4 linked regions of the Caenorhabditis elegans genome follow. The protein of the gene in region 1 purifies or fractionates together with the protein of each later gene. This does not show direct contact. Each region holds a gene or a part of one and is shown in the gene's direction. Other genes may lie near its edges. The genes, in order: F58F12.1, nuo-6, mpc-1 and F29B9.11.

Region 1 (8,155 bases):
AGATTTGGGTTGGTATGAGGATTGGACGGCATGAACTATTGTTTTTGGATTTGACAACGTGACCGATCAGAAGGAAGTTAAATAAATGGACTTTGATCTAGATCAGTCAGAAAATGGAACGCCTTATCTTTTAATTAACAGAAAAATCAAACACGTGGACCCTCTTCCAGTTACGGTTATTGTTGATACGGATGAGCGAATTCTGATTGAGGGATCTTCACTCTGATTATAAATATAACATCCACGAAAACTTCCTTCGTCAGCCTTGTTGCTGCCCCCGGAGCGCTGGAACTTTTTGCTTACATTTTCAAAATTACCATGCCCGTAAAAAAATCAGCAAGAAATATGATAGTTTGACATTCTGAAGATTATTCACTGTATAGTGACTGTCTGAGTAGGTAAACCTATCTTCGACACCTTTAAGCCTTTCTACCTACCTGACTACCTAGAACTCCGATGCTTGATGTTCGCACACTGGAAATAAATAAATAAAGATTGAAGTTTACTTTGACATCAGGTACGTGCTTTCTAATTTCATATTAAGATCATACAAAATGCAAGAAAGTTTTCAAAATCGAAGCAAAATCGTATCACAAGGGTTAAGCTGATTGTGAGTCGCTACTGTGAGTCGCTGTCGCTAATTACCACAACTGTCATAACGCTGTTAGATTTATGAATAAAATCAGCCTAAAAGGAAAATCAGTTTAGATTTTAAAGATAAATTTTCAAAAAAGTTTTGAAGAATTGTGGTGGGATACGGTGGCTGAGTAGCGACTCGACCTTTTCAGATCGGAATATTTCAGAAATTAGATTAGTTTTAACAAATTTGGATAAAGATGATTACCCAAATTAAATTCTGTAGACTGCAAAATTTTCAAAATCAAAATCATAGCAAAATTGGCAAAACTCCCTATCACTGTTTGAATTAAGAGAGTCGCTACTCAGCCAATTACCAAACCTGTCATAACATTGTTCAGAAAAGGGATAGAAAGTTGGCTCAAAAAGCAAATATGGTACGTTTTTGGAGAAAAATATTTTAAAAGAAGTTTCCAACAAATTTGGTGTGCCAAGAAAAGTTTTGGTCAAACTTAGGATAAATTGTCCAGCTCTTCCCAGCTAGCTTTTAAGTCAAGTTATTTTTTTCGGGTTGAACATAGCCAAGAACTTTTATGTTTAAAACTTAGTTTTCTACACAATGCTATTTTTGATAATTTCAGTATTGCAAGTCGTGGAACGATTTCGAGGTTGTTCTGGAGTTACAGTTCAGTTGGAAAATGTCGATTTTAGCTCATACCTTTCTACCTACCGTAACCTTGATTAACTTCACAATTATTTGTGTTGTTGTGTTGTCGTTTTTCATTTCTTGTTTTGTCCCTTGAAACCTGCATTCTTTTTTCTTACACATTCTTTCTCTCCATTTATTTATATTCTTTATCTGCCACAGTGTTTCTCTCTGATTCATAAATTCATTCATTTTCTTTCTGTGTGGTTTAAACTTCAGGTTTCTCGATTTCTCTATCATCTCAAAATTATGCATAAACCCATTTTTCCATTTTCTCTTCGTCTCCATTCCTTACCTCTTGCAAACTGATAGGGGCGTGACCTTGTTCCGAAAAGAGGCGGAGTGTCGGAACGAAAAGTCAACGACATGTCCTCTCCGGTCAGTCAGCCACCGACTTCTTGGTGCTCTTCTCTCTGAAATTTCATTCGTCTGAAAGTGACCTACTTTTTAAACTCAACAATGATTCATCATCCAGTATATTTTTATGGAGAAGCAACATCAATGGATCTTCATAAACATTCAACATTATTCTCTGTGCAAAGAATGCAAAGACTTCAACTCATCAAAATATCAACACCGGAACACAATCGGTATGGTCAATTCAAGAAAAGGATCACTAAATGATATCCACTTATCATTAGTCACGTGTCTACATGACTACATGGCTACAACATCATAAGATATATTTTCCTTGTACATTCTTAGGAAAGTGTAAATATAATATTTTGGAAATTTTCGAAAGGTATAGCTCCAATTCTAGAGTTCATTATTTATTTATTTGTTTTTTTATAAGCACGTTATATTTCCTTGTCCCTTACAAAAGGAATTGTATATATATATTTGTCTGTACATTTTTTGATATTTTTCTCATTCCGCTGGTTGGTCATCTATTTCAATTGTTTCGCGATGATTTGCAATATTTTAATGGGATCTCATTTATTTTGTTTCATGTTCAATTGTACATTTATTTTGATTTTTGTGATAATTTTGAATCTCGAGTGAATTTATTTTTAATATGTTTTAAGTTTGTATACAATATACAAGAATTGAGTTATTAAAATACAATAATTACAAAACTAACCATGATATGGCTAAAAGAAATCAGCTGGGACAAGCTTGATTCACAGAAATTTGTAGGCTTTTTACAGTTAGAAAACTCAAAACTTCCGGCAGATCCTGAAATAAAATACAACTCTTGAGTTTACTGAAAACGTAACATTTACAGTTACAGTACCACAGAAAGGCTGATAATTTTTCACCCTAATCAGCAATTTAGGTGAAATTTATTACAAGTGGAATGCTTACAATAGTATTGAGAAAATTTTTTACCTACCTAAAGGTTGCGTCTCTCTCTCCGAAACTTGTAGAAGAATGGCTGCTCACTCCAAACCGGAATTATCTGTTGTTTTGGATGCATAGTTTTTAAAAGGCAGGTCTTAAAAATCCAATCCCTAACTTCTCTGCATGCACAAACTTTAAAAGTAGCTACAGTAATATTTTCACATGATAACCTGCATTAGGAGTGTTAACCCTAACCACAAACTTTATCATTGACTATGTGTCTAGTTACAATGACCAAACAACTGTGTGTGTTTCTTTAATAGGATTCTAATAGAATGTTAAATATCTAATGGCGAATTCGTGATTTCAGGTGAATTTATTTAGTTCCGGACACAAGCCTAAACAGAAAGTTCACAAAAGTTAGTCATGATGATCTTTTATCTTCAGTTGCAAACTTTTTCTCCACGGTTTCATGATTTTGAAGCTTCTTTTTATTTTAGAGATATCAAAATGTTGTCGATCTACTTACTCACTGCACAAAAAGGTTATTATGTAGTTTAAAATAAATTTTCGTTGGGCAGAATGAGGGATGATATATTATTACTGTTTCCCGGTATCCACTTGATGAGCATGCGACCTCTCTGTCCAGAAGCCAAACTTTCAATAACATCTACAGTATGTACTGTATTTTGCAATCACTTATAAAAACTGAAAACTGAGAAGAACCATAAATCATACATTTCCCGCATGTTTCTACTCAATTGATAACCGGATTATCACATTTCTTTACTATTACTATGAAATGACACGCAGTTGCAACAAACTTCAAATATTTGATAAGTTTCAGTCAATTCAGCAGAAAACGCACCAACACACATGTTCTGCTTCAGGTGAAGGAAACACGTAAAAAGTCACGTGGCTTATTCAAATGTTCAAATGAGTCGTATTTTGCAAAGTGTATCGAAATGCTACGCAATGTAGTGAATAATATAGTAAGTTAAGTGAAACCTACAAATCATGTATACAATTTTCAAAAATTTCCATATATTCTTCCCTGCGTACAATTCGAGAAAGGAGCAATCTACTTTAATGGTTAAGATTTTTTCAATCAGTAGCTTCAATAGTGTACTCTATTGCTGTTTAGATACGTCTTCAAATAAAGTTTATTTAAAAAATATGTTTTCTCTATTGTAATAGTTCTATAATTTCAAAAATTATTCCAATTAGCTACATTTCAATAAATATCAAAAATTCTACGCTTCTTAGTTGAAAATCTCCAATTACATTCGCTGTTTCATATTTAACATACGTTTCATTAAATCTTCAGGCATTTTTTAACCTTCGCCAAGATGGCCTAGTTTTTCCCGATGGCCGCGGACTAGCCATTAGGGGATGCAAACACGCTCCGTTGGACGACGGGCGATCTCGATTTTTATTCACCTTTTTTTAACAAAAAATCTCTGTTTTCAACTGTTTTGGGAAGTTTTTTCAGTTAATTTTCGTTATTAAAAATTGAAAAAAGTATTCGACTATATGTCTACGATTTTTACTATTGTTTGTTCCCCAAATACAATCTATTCCTCCGATTTTTTCATTTATAATTCTTAATACACATATTGACCTTCTAAAAATCAATCAAACAATGTTATCATTTCAGAGGGTAAGATGTTGGCTCGTACTATCCAAAGATTCTCGGTTGTTGCCAAGCGCGGATACGCCGCTGCCGCTCCAGCTGCCAACGCCAACCCAGAGGAGCTTCGTCTCACTTTCGCCTCCCCAGACACCGTGAGTAAATATTATTTGAAAACATTATTTGAAAATCAATTTACAGGCTGTCTTCAGCAATGCTGTCGTCAAGCAGGTTGATGTGCCAACTTTGGCCGGTATGGTTGGTGTTCTTGCCAATCACGTCCCAACCATTGGAGTTTTGAAACCAGGAGTTGTCTCTGTCACCACAAATGAAGGTTTATTTTGCAAAAATAAATTGTATTATCACCAAAGAATTTTTCAGGAACAGTTCAACGCCTTTTCGTCTCTTCGGGAACCCTCTCCGTGAACATCGATGGATCATGCCAAGTTCTTGCTGAGGAGGTCCTGAAAGTTGAAGAAATTGATGAGTCTGCTGCCCGCGCCGAGCTTGATGCTGCCCAAAGAGCCTCCGGAGAAGGAAGCGAGGTTGCTCGTGCTGAAGCTCAAATTCGCGCTGAAGTAAGTGTTCGAAAAAGTTTTAAAAACCAAAAAAAAATACAAGAAACGAATATCGTTTGGTTTCAGCAAAGTTAAGCATTTCGTAATATTTTTATTATCAAAATGATTCTGTGCTTCGATACTAAAACTGAGACCAGGACATAAAGTTGAGGGTCATAAAAGTAGTTCTCTGAAATGAATATGTCTTTAAGTTTTGTTTCAAAACAAGGGAATTTTTCAGGTTGCTGAAGCATTGATCAAGGCCGCCACGAACCAGCAATAAGGAGTATGTTGAGAGTAGACCCTTTAACTTTGGTAAATTCCTTTTTAATTTGATCCTAGGCACATCGTCAATTTCTCTCGATGCTGCTTATAGGATATTATGTACGGCCCTCCCTTTTTTTGTTTTCATTGTTCCATCGTTTCCAATAAATTTCGAGACTTTTAGTTTTTGACTTTTATTTTTCCAATTTTCTGATTTAGTGATATTTATAGTAGAAATGAACATTCGATCCTTCATCCAAGTAATTATATCAAACAAGAGAAAATTCTGAAAATGTATGTAAACTGGAATACCAATTCCATGAGTTTAAAACAATTACAATCTACAGCAATACGTACCCTAAAATGAAATAGAATTAGTATTTCCTTATGTTTACCAAAAAACGGAAACCTCGGGTTCGATTCAATTCATGCGCTAATCGAAAATGGTTGTTCAAAAAGCGAAATTGAACGAAAAAAATCGTAAGTGATGATGCCATTCAGAAGAATCTGCAACATTTGAAGAGGAAACCCAAGGAGGATTCGGCTTTTTCAAAGTGATGAAAGTTGAGATACAAATTGGAATTGTCTTTTTTATCGACAAACCCACTTTAAATGCCATTTACAGACACGATGGGAGGATAGACAACAAACTTCAAAAATCATATGAACACTTTTCTGAATCAAAATAATTATTCACCAATTTTCCACCATTTTTAGTAAATAGCTAATATTAGTTTGAATATCAAACTTCTTTTATTAAAATTGGAGCTTTATTTATTCAAACCTTCGCAAAATTGATTTGGTTTCTAAGAACTTCAAATAAAAAGTATTCTAAAAATGTTTAGCCTATTCCAAATACCAATGTCACATAATCTTATAGATCCGTCGCCACACTCAATAAAATTCTTCGTTAGAAAGTGTTCGGAATAGTGAGAATGGATTCGATTCCATATCTGTGTACATGTACAATTATGTCGGTTTCCGTTAATTGAGAAAAAGAATTCAGGAATTGAAGAGACGAAAAAGAAGAAAAGATATGTCTTCGGACTGATTGGCATCGTTTGTTCGGTGGTCAACACACCGTCAACGCACAGATTTCCGGAAGACCTTTCCTTTTCCACTCAATCATCAAAACTCTTTTTCTGTCTTCTTCTTCTTTTACTTTATCCTTTCTCTCATATTTCCAACACTTTTTGACAAGGTAATATACGTATAAGTCTCTCATTCCATCATAATATTTCGTTGCTGTCATTCGAGAACCGCCCGGGAAGGGGATGACTAAATTGCTGGAAACCACTTTTCGCTTTCACTGCTTGCCAACGTTGTGTTTATGTTGTTACCTATGGCTTATATGATTTGGCGCCCTTCTAGATTTTTCTATTTTATTTTAATTTTTGTTTGAAATCCTTGTTGCAAGAAATTTACAAAATATGTCAAGTGTACTCCTCAAGAAAGTTTAGAAATCGTCTAAATAAGTACAGTAGGATGATGAAAAAACTTTGAAATTCGGTTAACTTTTGGCCTGAACTGTTTTATTACCCAGACGCGAAACTTTCAGAATTTAAAACCAAAAGTACGGTACCTGGTCTCGACACGACACATTTTCGTTAATGCAAGAATGTGGTGTGCGCCTTTAAAGAGTACTGTAGTTTAAAACTTTCGGTGGTGTTAATTTAATTCTATTAATTTCCATAAAATCTGAAAATTTATGCTCTTTGATTTTAATTTTAGTTTTTGCAAATAACCGGTGCAAATTCCAAAGCAACGAAAGTTTGAAGCTACAGTACTCCTTAATGGCGCACACTTGTTAGAATTTGTCGTGCCGAGACCGGAGATCGTATTCCTGGCTCAAAAATCGCAAATTTAGCTCCAGAGTAATATTATTGCTAGATTACATTTTTATTCCCCTCCTGAAATCTTTTTTTTTTTCATATTTATGCATCCCGAAGAAATATGCACTTTTAAGGACTACTGTATTAGTTTTCTTCTTTTTCTATGCTCTCACTGGCCTATGCTTTGTTGTATTATTTCTTCTTCGTATGCTGCAACTTAAAAAATAAATTCTTCAACTTCTATAAAAAAGGAACAATCTGATTGTGAGAAAATTGCGAAACATCCCTTCATTTTGAAATATTTTTATCACTTCTCGAGTACTGTGTTTTCCAAAACTCTTGCAAACAACTAATATAAAATGTACTCTTTTATTTATAGGCAATTTGATAGAATCTCTTGCCCGAACTTGAAATACTGTATAAATCTTAAATTCAACTCTCAAAACGTTTAAGTTATCCTGAAAATCGAAATATTTGTTTTCGTATCAATATATTCAGAAGATCAAACAACCAAAACTTCAGATGGTTTTTTCACTTCTTCTGCTCTGCACAACAATATCGTTGAAAGCAGTTCCTGCTCTCACAAAAGCTATAGCAGAATCCTCGGATTTAGCAAACTTCATAAATGAGACAGATAGTGAGATGACGTCATCACAAATCGAATCTTCAACTCAAATACCTTCTTCAACAATGAATCCTTCAACTAAACTTCCTTCTTCAATGCGTGGAAAGGATTTACATTGTCCTAGTATTGAGAATGCCGTTAGCTCATGTCCAAAAGGTGGGATTTGGATTAACACAATTTTTGATTTTTGAATTTCAGACTTTAAAAATTGAAAACTCTATAGCTCGTACTGAAAGTGTTAAAAATCTGCACCTGAAACTTTAATAAAATTGATGATATTTTCAGACTCCAAATGGGTATACTACACGTGCTGTGGCGGAGCCAATATGTATTGCTGTGAGCATATTCAGACATGGCTACTCTCTTTTCTTGCTGTCATAATTGTTTTTCTCTCAATCTTCCTCATTGGTTGCTGCGTTCGCTGTTGCTGCAGTTACAGTAACTAATCCTACAGTAACCAAATTTCAAGTAATCCAATTCGATTTGGTTTCAGAACGAAAGACACAACAAAGCTACAGTTTCGATGATAAATGATGATAAAGACTGGAACAATACAATGAAGAAAGTATTTAATTCGAAACAATTCGTTTTCCAAAATCCATGGCACAGTTTTCGATTGTATCAATAAATCATCTGAGAAGCTCTTCTTCCAATGAATCCATTATCATCTTTTTCATATTTCTT
Region 2 (7,945 bases), on another chromosome or scaffold:
AACCAACTACAAACGGAACATCAGCAGACAGTAGATCTCCTCGATTCAGACAGCTATAACAAACAAATCAACACGTGTCTTTGGACGACGACGAACTTGTCAAGAAGCGGGTTTCTACCATTTTTGTCTTTGTTAGACTTGAAATCAATAAACTTAATAACAATGTATTAAATACCAGTGAAACGACCGGATGATATGACAGGATATAACAAAAAATTAATAAAAATTTCAATTGGACGATGTAGATGGCTGGTTGTCCTTCGTAAAGTTGATTAATTCGACTTCAGATGCAACTTCAGGGATCGCATGAAAACGGGTACGGAGTGGATCCACGAACAGTTGAACTGCCGCCATAACGTTCGGAGGATAGTCTTGCTCACAGAAGCGGTAATTGCCTTGTTGACATTCACTGAAAATACCGGCAAGAATAGATTTCTCAGTATCTGGAGTTGTCGTAGCTTCGGTTTCGATAGTGTCTAGTACTTTGGAGACAACTGCCGCTTCTGAAAATAAAACTGTAGCGCTGGTTAAGTTCCCTCAGAGTTAGAATTATTCTGGGTTTACTGACCAAGTTCATTGAGCGCTGGCATTTGCTCTTCCAATGTGGCACATGCTTTCATGAATCTGTAAATGACTGGCCATCTTATATTTTGAGAGTCAGTTCTTGTAGCTTTTGCGGTGAGAAGTTTGGTCACCACCGCATTTTCGTGAGTTTTAGATTCTAGAGCGAGATTCTCGAAGAGTGTCTGAAAATTTGAGCATTTTTCAATTGCTGACTAATAAAATATAAAACCTCATAAGTATCTCTAAGAGAAGGTAGGGTCTTGTTGATTGATCCATGATGATGATCGACTATTTTTCCCATGATACTGCTCCAGTCGTCATTTGGATCCACTTGGCAAAATGGTGGAGGAGTGATATTATGATGTCCTGCTTCGATCCATTTATTTTTGTAACACTCAGGGAGAATAATCTCTTTGTGTTCCTTGATAATCTCTCGAATCTCGTCAATTTTCGCCCTGAAAAAGAATAATGATTAAATGTTGAACATATATTTTAAAAACTTACTTTATCTCTTCGATAGATCGTTTTTTTACAATGTTTCGGTGAATATAGTTTATGGCTTCAATTTTGGTACCATACTTCATCACTCCATCCAATAAACTTCTCAAGTCGTCACTGGACCAATTGCCACCATTGAAGCTGCGACCTTCTGCGAGAATCTACAAAATTTTACATTTTTAAATAGTTTATTTTATTAGAAAACTGACTCTGTCCAGTGGTGATGGTTCTTCGGTTACAGTATGGTTTGCGACTTCAAAAGCCATAGAGCTACCGGGAATTTCATTTGTGGGATCGCCGTCGGTTTCCATGGCTAAAATTTGAGTTTTAAGTTAAGTTTAATGTGCGAAAAAAAATAATTATGGCCTCGATTTAGGAAAGAATTGAAGAAAATTGAATTGAGGAAAATTCCTTTCGCTTTGAAATGTGATGTAGATTTACGATAAACAAGGCGCTGTTGCGAAATATCGGAGTGTCGTTTGAACCAGTTGTTCAGAACTTTTTATTTTATTTTTCTTAATTTCCGTCTTGTTTTCCGATTTTGTTTATTAATATTTTAATTCCAGGTTGAACCAAAATGAAGTTGGCATTAAGACTTCTTCGACCAGCTGCCAACCAAAATATTAAATCTCCGAAACTGTGGCAGGATCCAGTGCTTGGATATTTTGAGACTCACGGTAAAACTTTTATTTTATCGATTTATTTTTCATAATTTACTGTTAACTTGTAAAATAATAATTGTTCTGTATAGGAAAGACCGAATTTCTGCCAGGACATGAATACAATCTGAGCGACGAGGAGAAGAAAGCAGTTTTGTGGAGGTAATACGAAAAACGCTTTTTGCTTAAAAGTTTTTAAAAAAATTCTAAAAACAGTGAGAAACATAGTTTTAATTATATTCTCAATTTAAAATTATTTAATTCTATTGAAAAATCAATATATGATAACATTTGCGTTGATGAACACTTATTTCAAGTGATTTATTAGCAATAGAGACAAAAAAAAACAGTTTCTTGATATAATTTACAGAGTATCAAATCAAAAATTGCTTTAAAAAAACTGTTGCGATAAAATTGGATATTAAACACTGAATTAACATAAATTCAGTTTTTAATATCCAACTTTATGATAAAAAAACTACATTTTATTTTTAAAAAATTACTTTCAGATATCGTGTCAAGGAGATTTTGAAGAAGGAATATCTCCGTCGTGAATACGATCCTCATAGCTTCAAGTACAAGGAGGGAGTCACCATGGATCCAGCAATGTTCCGTTGGTATTCTGCTGATATGACTCAAGCCGAGTTCTTCCGTTTCACACCACGCACCGTATTCCTGTACGTCGGAACCGTTTTCGCTCTCTTCTACATTTACACTCGTCTTATGTTTGTCCCAATGGACAAGTCGAATGAAGCATGTTTGGATGGAAAGCTTCTTTGGTGGGATCGTCAACAAGGAAGAACTCTACAAACCGGAGGATCCGGTCTCTTTGCTCCAACCATCGGAATCGACTTCTAATCGTCTCGATCTATCTGTTTTCTTAAATTTACTTTTAGATCCGAATGTAAGCAACTTTTTCTCGATTTTTGTTTTTTTTTAGCTGTGTCGTTATCCTCGTCAAATAAAATTCAGATTTTATTAATGTAAACACTCGTAAATTTATATAAAATAACATTGATGCCTGATGAATTAGATTCCGTAAAAATATGTGTGGAACAGACATCACAGAGAAAAAGAATGAGAAATTTGTGCCTGACTTTCGAGAGAGTTCAAGGGAATTTTTAAGAGAAAAATGGGAGCTGAAACCGTACAATCGGGACGTGTAATTTATAAAATAATATAATAATGTGAAAATCAATAATATCTGCCTGACTGCATTATATCGAGCTCTTTTTTGTGATTTTGTCTTCGAATCACTAGTGCTGTGGAGACAACTGTTAATGATACAATTGTGATAAGAATAAGGGGAAGAACTGGAAGAAGTAGTCGTGGAACACAGAATGGAGAAGGAGCAAGGAGCCCACGATCTGCTGGATCAAGTACAAGAAGTTCTGATGTTGCTACGTCGATCTAAATATTTTATTGTTTTCATGTTAGGAGGATTAAAAAAATATATAATCCGGAAACAATCTATGATTACCTCATAATCAGACCGATCAGCTTCTCTTTTTGTTCGATTTCCATCACCACTTGCTTCACTCAGCAATTTCTTGACTCCACAGTTTGGTGGCTGAAAATCAAAAATAAGTATTTGCTTCAACAATCTTCGAACTCTATTACCGTAACTTCCTGGCACATTCCCATTTGTTTCTGACACAATCTTATCTGACAAGTGAAATATAATTGATTTGAGTCTGCATATTTGAAAACTTGACTTGATGCATGAGCTCGCATAAGTGAAGCATCGTAAGACAGCTCACTGAGCAAGAATGGATCAGTTGCACAGCCATCAAAGTCAACAACAGCATGATCTTCTCCGTCTCCATCTGTTACAAAACACTTTTTGACAAGCATTCCCATATCAGCCGGTGTACATTCCCATACATGAAATACAATATCTCCGACATTGGCATATGTTAAAGTTGGACCATTTGGACCATCACGACGAACTGAATACTCGCATTTTGGCATTACCATACTGTCAGATAGTTCAGTCGTTGGGATCATACTGAAAATTAATTTTTTTGATTATTTTTTTAATTATTTGTGTTTGAAAATTCAAATATCATCAATGCTCCGAAATACGCAAAAAGTTCAATTTGGCAATTTGCAAGAACATAGACTTGAAAAAAAAATTTAAGAGTTTCCGATAATCTTATCTGGTGAGTTCAAAGATTTTTCACCCTCAAATACTAAACACTGAAAAGTATAGAATCTCAATGTAAAATTATTGAAATAAAATGTTAAAACTTCAGTATCTTTTTCTTAATACATATTACTGATTTAAAATTAAACTTGCAGTTCCTATCAGTGTTGCACTCAAAATGAAAAACTGAAAAATAATTATTGAACGCAATAGTTGAAATGAGGCATATTAAAATAAACGATTACCTACCTAACATCAATATTCTGAGTAACAATCTCATCTGGTTCCATATAGAAACATTTAACATGGAATGCCCTATCATTTTTTGTGATGAATCCAGCTGGATGGAATGATACAATGACTGTGACCATAAAATTGACGCCTCGAGGATTTGCCTGAATAAAAAAAAACATCTCACAAAATTGTCGTTTTCGGTCCATTTACCGATCGTAACCGTTGCATTCCACATTTTCCAAGCGGCAATGAGTATGAGTTTGTTCCATTGTTCGCATAACTTTGTCGACATGACTTGTCTTTCGCTCGTCCCTTTACAAAAATATTTCCACGAAATGGTTTGGAGGTGACAATGTCGAGTGCCAGATCATTTTCCGCGCATATTACCTTGGGTGTACCTGTAGAAATAAATGAGAGGGGAGCTCTGTTTAATACGCTTTACACGACCACTTCCGCACCTCATTATTCTCATTTTTGTTGTTCTTGAAGGTCGTTTTTTTGCGGTTAGATTTAGTGGATTTATCTTGTAATTGCTTTGAGACTTGCAAACTTGTAGACATGGATTATCGCACGCTTTATAATTTTTTTTGTATTCAGAACATTGAACTCTTTCTCTCTATATAATTATCGCTACTTAGGCCGAAGTGTAGGGAATGGGGTCAGTAGTCGCAACTATTTGATCTGCCTGTGGATTTTTTGCTTAAAAAGGATATATTACTGTAGCATACACGTTTTGAAGATGCAGAAAATGATTAATGTTTTCTTAACAACAAAACCGGTGTAAGATCGGTCTAGGCAAGTTACAACTTTTGTTTTCTAAAATGTGTAAGACCAAAAAAAATTTTTAACGAATTTCATACGGCTTTTTGAGAATTTGTCTGCATATGTCAGATTAGTTTTGCTGTAAATTGAATTTTTTGAAATATACGGTACCCGGTCTTGAACCGATCGGAACTTTGAATCTATCCGCAGCAATTTTCCACAATGTTTACTCATTATTTCCAAATATTTTACGTATTTTTTCCAAAAGTTTAAAGTTTGCAACATGAATTGGGAAACTGCGGGTACTGTAGCTTCGACGTTTCGGTCGTGCCGAGACCATTTTTTTTGTGAACGGCTAATAAAATTTACTCTGGTCATAGTGTCTTTTAAGTGATAATTTTGCAAGCTTCGAGTCAAAAACCGTGATCAGAGATCAATATCACATATTATATATTCTAGAATTCAAAACAAAATTCATCTGGTGAACTGCAGTTTTCTGCCTCTGGATAATAGTAGATTAATCACAAGTTAGAATAAACTGTTCAATTTTAAAAAACTTTAAAAATTTCAGTAAAATGAAAATTGAACTTACCTATTATAGAGTTATCAATATAGTTGACCACTTTCGTTTGTCCTATCACTTTCTCTAGCATTGAGCATACCAAAAGAAATCCTAACCTCAGAAGCATTGTGTCTGTCTGTAATAATAAAAAAATCTTGAGGAAGTACAAGAATAAGTAGTTGTAACGACACACGTTCAAAACTAAATTAAATGCTCTTCTTCTACTTCATCTGGGGAACCAAACAAATGTGGGAGGAGCATAGGTGGTAACTAGTACGACCAGAATACGGGCGGGACGCATGATGACGTTCCCGGGCGGGACAAGAAGACATGATCGCTTCTCAATTAAGCTCGTGTTTTTAAGATGGACGGAACGAAGAGAAATCCTTGCGGCGGGCGGTACTTCTTCCGAAAACTACGAGAAGAACTACATATTATTCGGGAAAAAGAGTTTCTGTGTAAAGGTCAAACTGTGGAGATGAAGAGAAAGAGAGGAGCGATGGGAAAAAAATACGATGGACAGAAGGGTTCACGGTGAAAATGGATAATTACATGGACAGCCGAGACTCGAGAATAGGTCAATTGAGATGGAAATGTATGACGCCTGCTGCTGCCATACAAAAGGTGAATTGGTTAAGCTCGTAAGAAATGACAGAGTATTTTGATTTGAGAAATAATATGTAGACAACACCTGCATTCAGAAGCCCAGGACACTTAATTTGAAAGTGAAGTATTTTGATTCTTAACTGGATATTATGAACCACTTTGAACATCATCTCATATACCCTGTGAAAAAATGAAATAAGGAGAAAAAGTCTATCAAAATACAATAGGGAATTTTTTAACCAGAAAATCAGAGATTTGATCATATAATTCGAGAATAAAAGCAGACCAGCACGTCATTTTAATGTTTCAGAGTTTTTGAGCAAATATTATAAAAGTTCACTACAACCCTAAAATGTATACAATGTTTTTTAGAAGTAACAGCTTGCGTAATTCAACGTATTTATTTAAAACCCAAAATTAAACATAGAGTACATATCGGAAATTTTGGGAATTTTTTGCCAAACACTACTTGAACAGGATTTCAAGCAACAATGCCAAGCTTTGGAAAGGATCACTGATTATAATTTTGCTGAATATAACTTTCAATCACACACTCTACCTAAAATCTAGAAGTACAGTGCGTGCAACTTCTATAGAAATTTGGTCCATGGACAACTTTTGTTCTCAGAAACAAAACACATCTATACAGTTGGACAAAGATCAGATATACACACACAGTTATGCCTTTAAGATAGGAAAAGCTTTGTGAAGATAGGAAAAGCTTTGTGATTTTCTTGTTTTTTTTTTTTGAGGTTTGAAGGTTAATCGTCGATTAAAGGGATCCCATAGAGCACTTACCCCCAATGAATAATAAGTCAGATTATCTCAATGAATTGTTTCTGCCATAAAACAGAGGAAACTTTTCAGAATTAAACAAATTTCTATGACAATGATCTATGAATATGGTAAAACATTTTGGTATGTTTTTGTGCAAAAACATCTACTGGGAGCGGAGCACTGGTCACTAACACACAAAAAAGTGTTACAGGACCATTGAGAGTGCATCCCAATATATATATATATATATATATATATATTTCCACGTAGCATTTTTCATGTTTTTAATGAACGAACTAAGTATTTAGATCATTTTGATGTTATTGTTTTACAAAATTATTTTGAAAAATTTAAACAAATTCAGTGCTTTTTGCGATTAAAATCAAAATTCTGAGGGGTTCTATAGAAGTTGCACGGTCGTTTTTACGACTTTTTGGCCTAATTCTCGTAGTTTTGCATATATTTTTCTAAAAATTTTGGACAGTAGGTTTTTTGGCATTTAGAATCGATTGACATTAACAAATTTTCTTGAAAAATATCAGAACATGCTGAAACTCGAAAATTTAGGGGGTTCTATAGAAGTTGCACGCACTGTAGGCACAAAATACCTGCCTACTCGCCTAAACGGCTTGAAAAAGACCTAACCAGTCCGTGTGATATCTTTCTATACGGTGATGTAAGCTTAGAAGTTGAGTGAAAGCTTTTGCCAAATTTGAAAAATTCGTGTTAAACATTTTTGGTTGGCCGTTTCTTGCCAGGACTACCAATTTATTTGATCAGCTTTTAATAAGTTGTCAGGCTGAAGGTAGAAAGTAATTGATGTTGTGCAGTAAGTTGCCCCCAAACGCCAAGAAAGCGAGTTACGCCTGCTTAAAGGCACATAAGTTGGTCTTTATTCCTACCTATATATAAGATCTACAAGAAGTATATTAATGGAATTACGATTTTTTTTTCAATTTTTGTTTGGTCTGAAATTTTGATATCGGAAAATCTAGCTGATTCCTTCTCAATATTGTCTTCTTAATCCATGAACGCTCAGTATATCGGAAGCACAGAACACATTTCCCTTAAATCCTGATTTTGATACCTGCAATATAATAGATCAAAAGAAGTGGAAAGTTTTCGTTGAACTGCCCT
Region 3 (8,371 bases), on another chromosome or scaffold:
ATTTGAAAACACAGAAATTGGTTACTGCATTTGAATTACAGCCAAAGAGGCTTAATCCAAGAAAATTCTATGCTCCTCCAAGAGTTCCGCCGAATTTTCGAGGCGATCATCGTCCGATTCCAATGGATATCTCGAAACTTCCACAAATGATGAAGAATGATGTAAAACATATGAATGCGGAGCAAAGAGCAAAGTATGATTTAAATTAACAATAATTCATATTTTTTCGCTTTTTTTTGTTTTCCGAAATTTGCTAAAGTTTGAGTTTACGGGTTTTTAAAACGTAAATCGATTCAGCTTTTTCCGAGAATTTTGACCTGAAAATTATTTGGAACATTTTTTTGGCCATTCTCATCATTAAATTTCGGTCAATTTTAGAATATTTTTGTTGAACTTTATTTATTTCAGATTCCTTGGTGAAGATCGCGTGAATGCACTTGAAATTGGAGGCAAAAGTTCCAAAAAACCGACAGAACGAAGAAGTCGATGGGATATCAAGGCAAATGAAGTCGAAAAACGTGATAATGAGCGTGGTGGTGGTGAAGCAGAAGAAGATCGGGATCGACGACAACGGAATCGAATTGAATTCCCTGATGAGCCTATGCGACAAGCTCGATTTAAAGAGTTTCTTCATTATATTCGACGTGGTCTACCGTACCCTCAGCCCACTGATCTGACTGTCTGGGAGTGGGAGTGGGAAAAGAAAGAATTCGAGTCAAAATTGACATCTGACGAACGGGGAATGCTTCCAGAAGTACAATCCAGGGCTCAGCCACTTGCAAAAACTGCCATAGCAGCGCCGATTCATGAAATGATGGCTTCGAAATTTGTGAAAGAAGCTGGCGGTGATTTGAAAGTTGGAACGAAGGATGAGGATAAATTAGCCGCTGTGAAAATGGAAATGTTTGGAGAAAAAACGAGGCAAAGCTTTGATTGGTATGTTTCTAAATTGAGAATCATCTAAAACGACCGAATTTCATAATGAGATTTCTCAAAAAACAATTTCGAAAAAAGGCAAAAAAATGTATGTGCTGCAACAAGATCAAGATGACGAATATTCGGATTTTACAATATTTGGCTCTTTTTTTAGAAATTTTCTGAGAATTCTTATTATGAAATTTTTTTGTTTAGGGCTAGTTTTAGCCATTTAGTCCCTTTGAAAAATGTAGAAATTTTTAAATTTTCAGGTATCCTGACAATCTTCTCGCTAAACGATTCAATGTTCCCCATCCATATCCTGGATCAGACACTGTCGGAGTTCCAGCTCTTCAGAAGACTGATTGGAAGCGGAAAGATCGATTAGCAGATATTGGTGGAGTCTCGGCAACGTTGGGACTTCCGAACACTGCAAATGAAATTGAAATGAGGGAGCGACTTCTGAAATCGAGAGCTCAGAGAGGAGCAGAAGAGAAAAAAAGAAATCAATCAGATGATGACGATGAGAAAGAATATGATGATAAGGATTCTGATGAAGAAGAGGAAAATGAAGCCGAGCCTAACAATCAGAAGGTAGACAAAGCTCCAAAATCGTTTTTTGATTTCATTTTTGGAGATGGAGACGGTGCAGACTCAGATGAGAGTAATAGTGAAGATGAAGAAGCTGAAGAGAAGGAACGGCAAGAGATTCTGAAAAAAAGAGAAGAGGATTTGAAAAGAAGAAGGGAAATAGTTGAGAAGAAAGAGGAGGAGAACAGAAAACGAGTGGAAAAAGAATTAAAAGAATTAGAAAATAGGGATTTGCTGAGAGTTTCAAAGCAACAGGAAGATGATGATATTCAGATTATTGATGAAACTTCTGCATCTTCATTTGGTCCAGCTCTTCCTCCATCTTCAAAACCAGTTCTTTCAAAAACGGAAGTACTGAAACTTTTAGAAAAGAATATGAAGAAAAAGAAAAAGGATAAGAAGGAGAAGGAAAAGAAGAAGAAATCGAAAAAATCAAAAAAGAGCAAGAAAGAAAAGAAGACAAAGAGGAAACATTCTTCGTCTAGTGCCGACGATTCCGGTGATAATTCCGATGGATGGGAGGAGAAGAAATAATCTGAATTAAACATTTTGTTAATTTTTTTTATTTATTTATTTATTATCATATATTACTATGGTTTCGACTTGTAAAAATGAAACATAAAATTTCTCAAAGTGATGTCTGAACTATCCTTCTCCTCCCGTGTGGCTATTTGTCCCCAGTTAAATTGTCTGCATCTCTCGTTCTCTATTTCTCTCGCTTTCTATTCTCTCAAGGATTGTGAGGTTTGGTTCCTGCGAACTCGTGCACTGAGGTCACATTTTTCGAGCAGAAATGAGTTTTCAATTTCAATTTTTCAAAGATTTTAGTTTTTCAGATGCTTTCTCTGTTAAAAATTAGTACAATTTGTTTTCCATTTTTTCAGTCTGCAAATATTAACCGGCACCTTTAGAAACATTTTTTGAATTGCATTTGAAAAACCTTTTTTAATTTGAAAAATTAGAAAAATTAATTAGAAAAAAAACCCAACAAATTTTAATGCTGAAAAACTACAATTTCTAGTTTTTTTGTAGTTTTCAGCAGTAAACGCATTGGTTTTTTACATGAAATACTATAAATGTGGGATAAATTGGTAAATTAATGTTTTATACATAAAACAATTAGCGAAAATGGTTAAAAATCAAGTTTATTGGCTAAAAACAAAGCTATCCGCGATAAATTAATGCACACAGTTTTCCTCGAGGAGTACACGAGCTTCGTAAATCGACACGTTGTCTTGCCACGAAGATTTTGTTGAGTGGGATTAGGTGTGCGCCTTTAAAGAGTACTGTATTCTCAAACTTTTGTTTTTTGAGTTTTAAAAAATGTTTCATTGTTTTCTCAAATCCAACAAATAATGAGATCTCATTATTTCTTCGAATTTTTCTGTTTTTATTGTTTTACCTCAATTTTTAATTTGAAAACATATTTTTATCGAAAAGCTATGAAAAGCCGATTCATTCAACAGAAATTAGTCGTGTCGAGACCCGGTATAGTATTTTTGGAGCAAAAGTCTCATAATTTAACGGCCATGCTTCAATTTTTTTTTGAATTTAAAACCTAAAGACAATTTCTGAAAAATCAAAATTAAACCTTCTAATGGAACCAAAAAGATCAATATCATCTTTTAGCCACTGACAAAAACAATTATTTATTTTCGTTCTCTCATCCATTTTTCTCTAATTCTCTACAGAGGGTTTTCCTTATTTTATCATCATTGAACAAAAATACTGATTTGATTGCTTATCACTTTTTGTTCCTTATCAAACCCAAATATATATCGGACGTTTTTTCTTGATTTCTCACGCGATTTCAGCGAAATGAACATTTTCGAACATATTTTTAAAAAGCTTAAAACCTAAAAATTCATATTTCCAGATGTCTCGAGTTATATCAAAAGTGACGACATATTTCAAGCAACATTCCACCGCCGAATGGAAGCATTACTTCTTGTCAACTCATTTTTGGGGACCAGTGGCTAACTGGGGACTTCCGTTGGCTGCTCTTGGAGATTTGAAGGTAACTGCATTTTTTAGAGACAAGTTAGGGTGAAAAAACGTTACTTTTGTATTGGGTGTTTAAAAATTGAAAAGCGCTTTTAATCCATAGCCAGATTTGGTTTTTTTAATAAGTGCTGAAAATGTGTGTGCCTTTAAAAAGAACAGTAGTCGTAATTATGTTTTCTTGCTTTTCTAAATTTTGCAGGTTAATCAATTTTTTTCACATGAAATAAAATATATTTTCCCAAAAATTTAACAAAAAAAACTAGCAATAAAGGAATAAAAAACTGTACACCTTAAAGGCGCACACTCTGTTTTGCAAATTTTATTTTTAGTTGTGAATTTTCTGCTGAGACCTGAAAATAGCAACTTTAGTACTACTATAATTTGTCAACCTTTTCAAAAAAAGCATGCAATTTTTGAGAAACTCTTATAAAAGCTATTATTAAAAAAACACCTTTTTTCCAAAATTATTCCACAAAAAATATGTTATGAAATGCCTACACCCTCTCACACACACTCTTTATACTACTCTGTCAAACTCACGAGATGTCTGCCGCCTCTTGTGTCCCCCCTATATAAACACCTCCTATTGCGAGATGTCTTGTTCTTCCGAGAACATATACTAAAATTGGAACAATACAGAGAAGATTAGCATGGCCCCTGCGCAAGGATGACACGCAAATTCGTGAAGCGTTCCAAATTTTTTGTGAAATTTTCTATAATTTTTTTTGCAGAAAAATCCTGACATGATCAGTGGACCAATGACGTCAGCTCTTCTGATCTACTCGAGTGTTTTCATGAGATTCGCGTGGCACGTTCAACCACGAAATCTTTTGCTCTTCGCTTGCCATTTTGCCAACTTCAGTGCTCAAGGAGCTCAGGTATACTCCATAACAGCAGCTCCAGTTGATAATTTTTAATTTTTTCAGCTCGGTCGATTTGTGAACCACAACTATCTGCACTACGTTGAAGATCCCGTCCACCATAAATTGATGATGAAAAAGGAGGTTTTGGAGCACGAACACGATGCGGAAGTGATCAGCAAGGCACATTGAGCAATTTGATTAAATATATAATTTTTAGCGGGTTTCGCTCTTTTTATGGTATCCTTTTTTCGAATTTCTAGGGAATTTTAGAAAGAATAAGTTAAATAAAAATAAATTTATGATATGAACTGAAAATGTAAAGCAAAAATAGGTGTTCGAAGAAAACCGTAACTAGCGACTCGACTAGATGTCAACATTCACAGGGAGAATCATTATTTTAATGGAGCTTCAACTTCGGATTCATCCACTTTTTGAGAATCGTCAAATGGATTTTTGAGATTTTTGAGATCGATGGCAGTTCCTTCTGCACGATTTTTCAGCGAAATCAGCACATCTGCAGGGATTTCTGGAATATCCGGAGTGATTGGAGGAGGTGCGGCAAGATCGACGTCTTCATCATATTCACCACTTCGATCGAATGGATCAGAGTCCTAAAACATTTTTTTATGCGAGTACAGTGGACGATTCCAACTAACATGTCCTCCGCGTGTCTCATTCAATGTCACTTCAGCCATAGAATCTTCGTACAAGTCTGTACTTGACAGCTCATCATCGACTTCTTCTTCTTCTGGTTCACCTGCTTGAGCATCTTTTTCCATTGAAATAAGCTGTAAAATACGAATTTCTTCAAGTCTTGTTTGAAGATTTTCATAAGTAAACTCGATAAAATCGAGGAAAATTGAAAAATTGATGAAAAATAGTTAAAAATCTAACCGTGCGGCGAAATTTCGTGATTTTCAAATCAAATTCTATTTTCTTTCATTTTATCGAGTTTAGTTATCGAAATACTGCAAAAAATAATTCATTTAAGCTGATTCCATTTTTGAAAAATTACAATTTTCAGATACATAACCGGCGTTTCTCACCAATCTTTTTAATAATAAACATTTAAAAAAATGCAAAATTTATTAGAACAACACAAACAAGAAAAACAACAAATTGCGAACAAGAGAAATAACGAGGAAAAAAATTAAAGGAAATCTTGCTTGGCGACAAATTCCTTCGCATAACCATCATCAGCGATCTGGCAACTCGCGGAGCAAGTGTACACGTACACGGAAGCCCAGTCGATAGATTGACCAATAGCATCTACATCGATGAGCGACAAGAGATGTGGCATAAGCTGCATTTCGAAACGACGAGGAGCTCCACAAAGTTCACATGGTTCCACAACTTCTGGCAATTCAGAAAGGCCAGTTGCACGGAGTGGCTGTCCGTATCTCTTGTATCTAATAATCTGATCGGGTTGCAAATTGACAAGACGGTTGAATTTATCAAAATCGATATCTTTTGGTTGCTCGGCGGTGGCTTCATCCAAATCTTCCTTTGTCATGTCAGCGTTTTTCTGAAAAAGGAATTGAGAAATTTAATTGTTTTTTCCGGCGTCAAACTAACCCCTTTGTTCTCCTTGACAAATTTCTCAAATTCTCTGATTCTTGCTTTCTTCTCCTCTTCAGTCTCATCCTCATCATTTCCTTCTTCCTCTTCCTCATCGCCTTCATCATCACTAAGTCCGTCAAACAGATTTGCTGGCATATATTCCTGATCAATTTCTACACCGAATTCTTTGAAACAAAACGCATTTCTTGGATTTTTCGGTTCATCCGTTATGGAGCCATCTGTTGCCGCTTTAGCACATTCGAGCTTGTGAGCAGGCCAGTCGATGACTTGATGAGCTTGAGAGCAATATCTGAAATTGTGACATATAAGGTGTGAACAAAATTTACCAGAATTTCGTCTTTCCGGCCAGAAATACTGTAACTGGTCTCGATACGACAAATTTTTGTTAAATGCACAAAAATGTGAGCGCCTTTAAGGGGTACTGTAATTATAAATTTGCTGAATTTTCATAGATTTTCCAAAGTTTTCCGAAGATATTTGTATTAATTTTTTTAAACTTTAACAAAATAATTATATTCGAGAGAAGAAATATTAAAAGTCAATAAAAATTCCGCAGCAAGAAAATTTTGGAATTATAAGCCTAATTAGAGTACTAATTAGAGTAGGCACACGCCTTTTTGCATTTAACGGAGAATTTTTTATTCTGGACGCAACATTTTTCGTATGGGTAACTTCTCTCACCTCGCCACTTGGCACTTGGCACATTTTTTCGCAGCGGAACATCCACAGATTCGACACAATCCGGGTCCATCAGCCGGTGCACGTGGATCAGCAACATCTCCATCCAAATCAGGATCCATTGGTCCATCAAATGAATAATAATCATTGGCACGTGGAAGTTGGCATCGGAAGGCTTTCAGATTTGCGGCATCATTTGTACGAGAGCAGGATGGATTACGGCAAACGAAGAGAAATAGAGAACGATGAAAAGCGTGTGGAGGATCATTTATACCTCCATTTGCTGATACTTGCATCAGGAAACACAGTGGTTTCTCGCAGACCTTAAATTTGGGAAATTATTTGGTGGACGGTTGTAGGAAGTTTTTTGTTGCTAATTTTGAAAAAATTATAATTTCAGCTAAAATTTTTAATTTTGCAAATATTTCCGTATTGCTGTTTTATTTTCCATATTTTTGTAGTAAAATAAAACAATGATCAAATAAAATTAATTTCTGAACGCTGCAATACGGAAAAGTTGGCAAAATTGAAGATTTAGCTAAAATTAGGTCAGTTTCAAAGTTCTGTTATAAAAAACCTACGTTGCACAACAAATCTGCGGATTTTGGAAGATTTTTTGGATTCAACCATGACGGTTTTCCTCCTATTTTTCCGAGTGGAAGAAATTGCGAACGTAGACGATACAGATCATCTGGCTCGAATTGAACTCCGAATCCCAAGTTTACTGGTTCATCTGAAAACGAGCTATTTTCATGCTGCAAACAAGATAAAGAGAACGGGCAGGAGACTTAGTGTGTATTTTCTTAAATTTATTGGTTAAGTCCGACTTGAAGAAATTTGTCAAAGAATTTAAATTTAAATATTTCGATTGATCAATATACAAGAAATAAGGCATTATTGATTGGGGAAAGTGAAACAGAAAAAATTGCCGAGAACCATGAATGTCGGTTTGCATTGTGTCTTCTAGTCTTGCTTGTTTTCACGCTTCTTGCGATCTTCTTGTTTGGTAGCAGCGAAGAGCCAGATACCCAAAACCACGTGGACGAGGACGACAGCAATGATCGCAGAATAGGTCAAAGCGTCGTTTGCACTGACACCCAGGAGCCCTGAAATAGGAGAGAAAATGGAATTTTATTCATTTTTCAAAAATTAAAAATAATCGGTAGAACAAGCTCTGTACCTTCGAAAAAGAATTGTTTCAAGAGGAACATAGAAGCAAGAGGAACGATGAGAATCACAAGACTATACGTGAGAAGGTTCTTGACAGCGGATTGGACTTCCTGATCACGAAAGTTCGGGAACAGAGTTGCCATTGTTGATGGTTCGGATGAAGAGGAAGTGGTCATTTCGCTGCAAACAACTCGGTATATCCATGGGTTTAAAATCAAATAATTATTATTGGAATAAAAAATAAGATTATTAAGGGGAGAATAGGTTCATACCAAGGTTTCTGGGAGAATCTTACCGAAAATTTGTTTTTTTTTAATTAAAAAAAATCCCGGATATCCCGAGTTGAATCCAGCGGCGCCAAAAGTAAAGGAAATCAAGAGATACAAAATTTGACAATTTCAAATTAAAATATAGTAAAGCGAAAACTACGCTTCAGAGAGAAAAATTCAATTAGTAAGGAAAAAATATAACAAAAAAAATTTATTCGTTATGTACAAAAGCATCTAGCCAGAGGCACTAATATAAATAGAACGGGTCGAAGTGATCACAAATAAGTAAACGAGGTCCAA
Region 4 (7,440 bases), on another chromosome or scaffold:
AGCGAATATTAGTAAAACCGCTATACAAACTAGTAAATTGCTTACCTGTAATCTTCTCAAGCAAGACGTTTCGCATGTACATCCAATGAAGAAGTTCGAAATTCGGAAAGTAGAACTTCTCCTCGCTTCTAATTTCCTTACGAATCGCGTTTTCGAGATGGTACACGCGCATTTGCATCTCAAGATTTCCCAAATGCAAGAAGTTTCCTCCAAAAACGAGCGAATCGACTGGAGTGAGAACCGCGTGAATCCAACCAGCCGGGATGAGCAGTGTCTGACCTTCCTTGATCACAACTCGCTTAACAGCTCCGTTGGCAATGTCACCGAACCATGTAGTGGTGTCCGGAGATGTCTCGTGTGCTTGATAAGCTGCAAAGTTCTGCTCCGTTGGCGCGGCGATGTAGAAGATTTTCTCGCCCTGAAAATAGAGTTAATAAGCTTTGAGAAAACCAATTTCAGTTGAAAGAAGGGTATTTCGAACATTACGATCCTAAATGTGCTCAAATCAACGAATTTCGTGATGAGGCTTCTCAAAAATGCTTTTAAAATCTCGGAAAATAGGAGATTTTAGCCAAATTTAGTCTTTTTTTTTTAATTTTGAACCTCCAAAAAAACCAAAAAAATATTGAGAATTTTTTCAGAAGTTTCAAACGAAATTCGTTAATTTGAGAACATTTTGGCGGGGTCAGAACGTTCACAATCCGCGGAACCATTTATATTCCTTCAATAATTATACCTTCAAAATGTGATAGTAGACGCTACTACCACCAAAGTCCACGTGGAAATCCGTATAAGATCCAGCCATTCCTGCGAGACAAAACTGTTCCACTTTTGGTCGCTGATCTTCTGGAAGATATTCTTCTCTCTGGAGGAGTTTAATGTACTCCGCTCCACTGACATCAGGCCACAGGCGGTTGACCATTGAGATTTCCTGGACAAATCTTGGCGGCTTAGCGATTTCTTTCATCCTGGAAATGTTAATTAATTAATTTTTCAATTGTTTTCAGTTAATAAACTCACTCATTATTGTCCGAGAATTCAAGGGACAGAAAATTGTACAAGAGTGGTCTGTTTTTAGTGTCGCGAAAAAGTTTTCTGAACGTATCAAGCTTCATCGAATAGGTGCTCTGATTATAGACATCGATCGTGTCCACTTCATAATCCGATCCCATAATTTTCACAACATCCTCCAAATCGAATCCAGGCTTCGGCATTGTCATATTGAGGCCGTCCATGTCTTTGACCATAAAAACTTTTCCCCAGTTGTCAGCTCCTCCGAGTTTTTCGAATTCTCTGCGGAATTCGTAGCCATCTTCGACAATGCAAACCTCATCGTCGGTTCTAAAGAATACAAATTTAATTTTAAATAATCTTTAAGGGAGGTCTGGGTTTTTTGCTTGTTTAGACTCAAAATGTGCCGGAATGAACGAAAAACATTATTATAGGTGATAAATTCAAGTTTTTTCGTTGATTTATGTACATTTGAAGCCAATAGGTAATCAAAAAAGGCCAATTTTAGTAAACTGACAGCTCAGAATGTACCAAATAAACGAAAAATGTGAGAAAACGGCAAAAATGGGAGTTTTCAGCTGAGATTAACTCTTTTTCTTGAAATTTTTGTGAAGTCTTCGTTCATTTTGGCGTATTTCGAGTCTTCACAAATAACAACCAAGTCATCTTTTAATGAAAATTCCCTTACGGTGAGGGAACAGTATTTTCTCTGGTGATGAAATCCTCAATCCAAGTTTTTGAGCCAACTTCAATTCCGAGATGCTTCTCGTTCGGACTGTACCAGCGATAACGATGTGGGGCGACGACTTTGTATCCTAAAATAATAAATAAATATATTTAATTGCAAGCTATTCGATGAAAAAACTTACGAATGCTATGTCCGGTATGTGGAACGCATTTGGGGCAGAAAAATTTCTCATACAGGTAATACTCAAATTGCTCGAGGCCTGAGCACAGAAAATGGTACCAGGTTTGGCAAGAGTCACAGCCAATCCATTGGAAGTCATTTTTCTTGTGATGGTGAGATTTCTTCTTGCTCATCAGTGGCTTTTCCTTTTCCTTCTTCTTTTCCTCTTCAAGAGCAATTAGATCATCTTCATGAGTAAATTTTCCGCATCCTCCACATCGATCCGATTCCTTTGGAGTTTTCTGCTCTGGGACATCATCTTCTTCACTGTCCGAGTCCACCTCAAGCTTCAATTCTTCTTGAACTTCTTTCTTTTTTGTTTTCATTTCGTCGAAATTCGAAATTGAAACGAAACGGAATGGAGGCTGGAATAAAATTTGATGATATTTATCAATTAATTTTTTTTCTTCATTTAAAAGTTCAGTATGATATTGCCACGGGAAATTTGAATTTTTTCAAAAATTTATAAATTTATAAATAAATTTTTTTTGAATGAAAATAATCTTCCACATTTCAGAATAAACCATACCTCAGATCCGTTGCTGACGTAGTTCTGATTTGACTCCATCTTCGGCGCTTCCGCTTCCATCTTGTTGCTCATTGCAGCCTGATTATCCGATGAATCTGTCACATGTGGCTCGATTTTAGGCTCGCTCTTCGGATTGTGCTGCTTTCTCCTCGGATCTTTTGGAGCGCCCATCTTGTTGTAAGCTCTCGCCTGGAAAATTACGTTGAGAAATGGAGGAAGTTCAGTGAAATCGGAGGTTACACTCACTTTCATGAGCACTGATTCTATCGCAAAATCAACCGAATTCTGAGATGAGACTTTTTTTAAAATTTTAAATGAATAAAACACTTACTCTATCCATTTCGGAAACCGATTCATGGGAATTGCCATTCAAATGATTTTGAGGAGCTGCGACGCTTGCTTCCTGTAATCAATATCATTGAATAATCGCAGAAAAATAAAAAATCGTACAGAAACTAATGGCGTTTGATGCTCAGTAGAGGAAAGAGCCGGTTGAGAGGCTGTGTATGACATTCCTGGCTCGCCGATTGCCGATTCGTGATTCTTATGGTCGGAATGCTGATCCATCATTAGAAGTGCTGATTGGTCTCGAGAAAACTCGTTTTTTTGTATATTTATATCATTACCATCCATTTGGAATGTGTAGATTCTGGAAAACAACGATTTTTAACGGAAAACTCGAAAACTTCAACGAATAGTCGATTGAAAGGGAAACAACGGACAAAATAACATGAAAATAGCTTCGAAATGTTTAAATTTATTTCTGTTACAACATTTTTCAATAAAAAACTCCAGAAAAATGATGGAAAACTGAAATATATGCTGAAAAAACTGTAAGCCTCGAGGAGATGTGAAGAAGAAGAGAAACGAGACGCAGCATGCGAAACAAGAGACACTGCGAAACGGGGGAACGTGAGTCGCGATGAAATTTACGAGTTTGTGGGATTAAATACTAATTAGTAGATAAACTTTAAGATGAAAATATCAATATTGATTAGTTGAATTGATTGCAATTCTGAATACAAAAAATTTTTAACGAGAAAATCAATTTCTGCCTGTCCACTTCCGGGTTTTGGTGTCTCGCATTCACCGTTCACTCGCTTCGCAGTGTCTCCGTCTTTCTCACCTTCCGTATTCTCACACTTGGCACGTAGCCAAGCGGCTGGTCTCGCAACGATTGTTTTTGTTTTCCGTCAGCCGTCTCTGCGCCTTTAACCTCTCACAGCCTGCCGATTATTTTTTAAGCAGATTTTTACTATTTTTCAGCTTTCAAGCTTCATCCATTAGCAAAATCAAATAATTTTTTGATTCATTGTGTAGAATTAACGATTTTCGTATAGTTTCTGTTTTTATAACCGCCTGAATCGTATTCTCTGTTTCGTTTTCTATGGATTATCATGCTTGCTCAATTACTCTGTAAATTTAAACGATTTATTGCAGGATGCTGAACCGTGCTGTGCTCTCCTTGGCTAGAAGCCAACATGTCATCCGTCGCTCGCTTCACAAGGGAGTTGACTCGACCCCACCACTCCGTTTCACCTCTGTCAGCGAGAAGGTAATTTTTTATTTGCTAAATGTCTTGAACTTATCCTTGTGAGCAGTAAAACTTAAAATACCACTAGCTCACCAAAAAAAACTAAATTTCAGTTTGTACATTCGTTTGAATGGATTTGAAAAATTAATTTCTGAACTAAAAGATACAGTTTTGAAATTTGTCTCACTTTTAATTTAGCTGCTCAAAAACATATTTATCCAGATATCCATATTATTCACTATAACACCAATTTTTTCAGGTTGCCCTTTACGGACTCATCTGCGTCGCTTTCATGGCATACCCAACTTCCGTCCTCTTCAGACTTGATAGTCTTCGCCCAAGACCGGATAATGCTCTCTCCCCAGAAGTCCAAGAAGAGATTGACGCCCGTGTTGCCGCCCGCAGACAGTAGAAGTAATATTATGCCACGAGCCATTGTGTAGACTTTTGAGAACAACAATAAATCGATTCTTGTTTTCTCTTCGCTTTTTCTCAATTTTATTCGCTGTCAAATGTGGTTTATCCATCCATGAAAGATAAATGTTCGATTCGGTTTTTCATTTAGAATTTTTTTGATAATTGTTTTAAAGATGGTACGTCAATTCACCTGGAGAGGAACGATTTCTCAGCCGTTCGCGATTAAACTTTTCAAAGGAATTTGGAATTCACATCCAAGATTCGCAACTCGAACAGTAATGGTGCAGAACAATGATGTCGATGGAGCTTTCGGACTTCTTAACAGGTTTTCTTTGGAAAAATTCCCAGAACATAATTTCAAGATTGAAATAATTTCAGATTGATGGATTCAGAAGGAATGCTGAAAATCATTCGCCGCACTCAATTCTATCAGAAGCCCTACATGCAACGAAAAACACTGTCGATGGAAGCATCAACGGCGATTTTCAACGAGGACATGAACCGGAAAATGAAATTTCTCGTTCGAAAAAATCGTCCCGACAAGCATCCCGGACAAGTGACGTCCTAATTTCGATCTCAGAAAATAGTTGTTTTGAGTTTTTTGTTTTGTTTTGTTTTACAGCAATAAAAGTGTAAATTAATTGAGAATTTAGAAACAAGGATATTGGTTTTAATGTAAAAAGTTGAGGATCGTCGGTATGGATTTTAAGGATTGCACACGTAGAATGAGGAGAAACAGGCGCCGCAGCGCCCGCGGGGCGCTTGTCGCGGCGAGACCCGTGCCGGAGGAAAATGCCTGCGCCTTTAGTTTGCTACTGTCTCTCTCACTCCGCTGTCACGGGAAAACATCCCATTCTCGGGTCGCTGCGCTCCCCCGAGAAAAGGTTTTCCCTTGTTCCTAGCTCCGTTCGAGAGAAATGAGGTTTAAGGATTAAGGTATGGATTGCAAGGGAAGCCAAACATGGAAAAACCTGATCAATGAATTTTTGCGGTTTTTAGTCAAAAATACAGTGACAAGTTTCGACAATAATTTATAAATAAGAAAACGCATAGAAAATAACTAAAGTTGAAACTACTGTACTTCTTAAAGGCGCATTTTTATTCGTTTCGAGACCTGATACCACATTAAAGGCACACGCTGCGGGTCTCGCCACGATCTCAGTTAATGTGGCTGTTACACGTGATTAATTTGAGGCCCCACGAAAAGGGGAGCAGAACGAAAAGGGGATCTGCAAAAATGGGATCTGCGAAAAGGGATATACGAAAAGGGGAGCTGGCACTGTGCCAAACGCACAAAACGCTTTTTTATTCTCATCCAACGCACGACTTTGTTATAACCACACTCCGTTATTACGCATCGCGCGTTGTTTAGCGAAAAATACAAAAAAAAAGTCGTGCGCTGAATGAGAATAAAAAAGCGGTTTGTGCGTTTGGCACAGTGCCAGCTCCCCTTTTCGTATCTCCTCTTTTCGCAGATCCCCTTTTTGCATATCCCCATTAATTTCAAGTAATTGTGTAGAAAACTAGCCGAATTTCCAACAACCTAACAAAATTCGAAAAAGGGATACAGAAAAATGCGACTTTTGAATTTGAGGTGCAAACGTGCTCCAACGCCATAATGAAAATGCTCCGCCTCCAGACTTTGGGTCTCGTTAGGTTTTGGCTTGTATATAATCAATTTGGACATTAAAAAATAATAACTTGAAACGTTTGTTTTTTTTATTTTGCCGCCAACACCTAACGAGACCCAACGTTTAGGGGCGGAGCGTTTTCACCTGGAGCGCGCTTGCACCTCGACCTCAATAATGCGCATTTTTCTGCGCTTCCATAATAAATTGGATTAATCCCTTCTCGTGTTCCCCTTTGATATACGAATCCAATATATCCTTTTTCGTTTCATTGCGCAACTGTTCTTCCTCCATCTCGCTGTCATCCAAAACCGCCATCGAACATGCCAAACTGCTTCCACACCTCGTTATCCATACATGCAACCACACAAACCGGTTTTAGATTTAGCTTCTTGTACTTTCCCCCATCTTCGTTCTATAAAGACATCGTCCACCGTCACTTTGCCATTTCTTTCCATTTTCGTCGTCTAGAACTATGACTGTAGACAACGCGGCGATTGCCACCTGGACAAGTGTCCTGGTGAGCGTTGCGTGCATCTCGTTTTGTGCATTTTTTGCCGCTTCGGTGTGTGAGGATATCAATCAATTTTTGGATGATTCCTTGTTGAGCTTCAAAGAGGGACAGGGACGAACTGATGATGCTTGGAATGAGGTGGTGTTCTTGAATGACAAGAAATTCAAGTCAGAGCTCCTCGTCAGCAACTCGGCCACCGTTCGTCAGAAGCGTTCCGATCTTCCGGCTCATTGTAGTAAGTTTTACAGAGGATTTTTAGACTGTAGTATAATATACAAATGACCGTGGAGAACGTGGATAACAGTACTTTTTGTACTTTTTTAGACTGAAAATTTAAATCGCACATTCAACTTGAGTATAAATTTATATATATCGTATTATTAGGTGAAAATTAAATAATTTACTGCTAAAAAAACTGAAACTTCTATTAACCTGACGCGAAATTAACCGATTTTGTCGTAATAATACGGTACCTGGTCTCAACACGACAACATTTCGTTAAATGCAAAAAGGTGCGCGCCTTTAAAGAGTACTGTAGTTTCAAACTTTCGTTTATTCAGATTTTTTTCATTTTTTCCAAATTGGTTTAAAAACTGCATTTTTAAAAAAGTTTTCATATAAATACATTTATTTTTATCAAAAAACTATGAAAAATCGAAGTAAATTCCACATCAGCGAAAGTTAAAAATTACAGTAATCTTTAAAGGCGCACACGTTTTCAAATTTAACAAAAATCATCCGTGTCGAGACCTGGACAGTTTAAATAGCCTATTTAATCTTTTTCAAAAACGAAACATGTTACAAAAATGAGATTAATTGAAAAAAAAGTAAAATCTTCTCCTCGAGGAGTACACAGTCTGCGTAAATCGACACAGGGACGTGTCAGAGATTTCTCACGGC

What was found.
Region 2: the proteins of F58F12.1 (region 1) and nuo-6 fractionate together in Caenorhabditis elegans (co-fractionation; one large-scale study listed by BioGRID). This does not show direct contact.
Region 3: the proteins of F58F12.1 (region 1) and mpc-1 fractionate together in Caenorhabditis elegans (co-fractionation; one large-scale study listed by BioGRID). This does not show direct contact.
Region 4: the proteins of F58F12.1 (region 1) and F29B9.11 fractionate together in Caenorhabditis elegans (co-fractionation; one large-scale study listed by BioGRID). This does not show direct contact.

The regions. Positions count from the first base shown.
Region 1 is NC_003280.10:6,379,425-6,387,579, forward strand, and holds F58F12.1 (ATP synthase subunit delta, mitochondrial), read left to right. Parts: upstream 1-4,220; 5' UTR 4,221-4,228; coding exon 4,229-4,348; intron 4,349-4,394; coding exon 4,395-4,527; intron 4,528-4,574; coding exon 4,575-4,771; intron 4,772-4,991; coding exon 4,992-5,033; 3' UTR 5,034-5,268; downstream 5,269-8,155. Other genes in the region: glam-3 (GLia Associated Membrane protein), read left to right, coding at 7,369-7,627, 7,757-7,909, 7,965-8,005; F58F12.2 (uncharacterized protein), read right to left, coding at 8,101-8,155. UniProt on the Caenorhabditis elegans protein: Mitochondrial membrane ATP synthase (F(1)F(0) ATP synthase or Complex V) produces ATP from ADP in the presence of a proton gradient across the membrane which is generated by electron transport complexes of the respiratory chain.
Region 2 is NC_003279.8:7,062,870-7,070,814, reverse strand, and holds nuo-6 (NADH dehydrogenase [ubiquinone] 1 beta subcomplex subunit 4), read left to right. Parts: upstream 1-1,628; 5' UTR 1,629-1,639; coding exon 1,640-1,739; intron 1,740-1,813; coding exon 1,814-1,883; intron 1,884-2,230; coding exon 2,231-2,579; 3' UTR 2,580-2,699; downstream 2,700-7,945. Other genes in the region: W01A8.6 (Peptidase M14 domain-containing protein), read left to right, coding at 1-59; tofu-5 (Twenty One u-rna (21U-RNA) biogenesis Fouled Up), read right to left, coding at 229-503, 569-746, 794-1,019, 1,069-1,223, 1,272-1,373; cutl-6 (ZP domain-containing protein), read right to left, coding at 2,916-3,131, 3,202-3,291, 3,342-3,729, 4,117-4,262, 4,312-4,499, 5,456-5,552.
Region 3 is NC_003281.10:4,410,075-4,418,445, forward strand, and holds mpc-1 (putative mitochondrial pyruvate carrier 1), read left to right. Parts: upstream 1-3,382; coding exon 3,383-3,523; intron 3,524-4,110; exon of another isoform or gene 4,111-4,212; intron 4,213-4,241; coding exon 4,242-4,388; intron 4,389-4,436; coding exon 4,437-4,562; 3' UTR 4,563-4,674; downstream 4,675-8,371. Other genes in the region: gpch-1 (G patch domain-containing protein 1 homolog), read left to right, coding at 1-193, 409-936, 1,188-2,040; R07E5.11 (Intraflagellar transport protein 46 homolog), read right to left, coding at 4,766-4,984, 5,030-5,152; pdcd-2 (MYND-type domain-containing protein), read right to left, coding at 5,524-5,898, 5,949-6,243, 6,636-6,955, 7,214-7,365, 7,569-7,587; R07E5.19 (Vacuolar ATPase assembly integral membrane protein VMA21 homolog), read right to left, coding at 7,596-7,738, 7,813-7,978.
Region 4 is NC_003282.8:4,656,649-4,664,088, reverse strand, and holds F29B9.11 (Cytochrome c oxidase polypeptide VIIc), read left to right. Parts: upstream 1-3,887; 5' UTR 3,888-3,888; coding exon 3,889-4,002; intron 4,003-4,240; coding exon 4,241-4,393; 3' UTR 4,394-4,458; downstream 4,459-7,440. Other genes in the region: jmjd-1.2 (JmjC domain-containing protein), read right to left, coding at 46-418, 737-968, 1,021-1,341, 1,700-1,826, 1,881-2,283, 2,448-2,732, 2,779-2,850, 2,898-3,080; mrps-21 (Mitochondrial Ribosomal Protein, Small), read left to right, coding at 4,572-4,723, 4,777-4,966; col-111 (Nematode cuticle collagen N-terminal domain-containing protein), read left to right, coding at 6,502-6,775.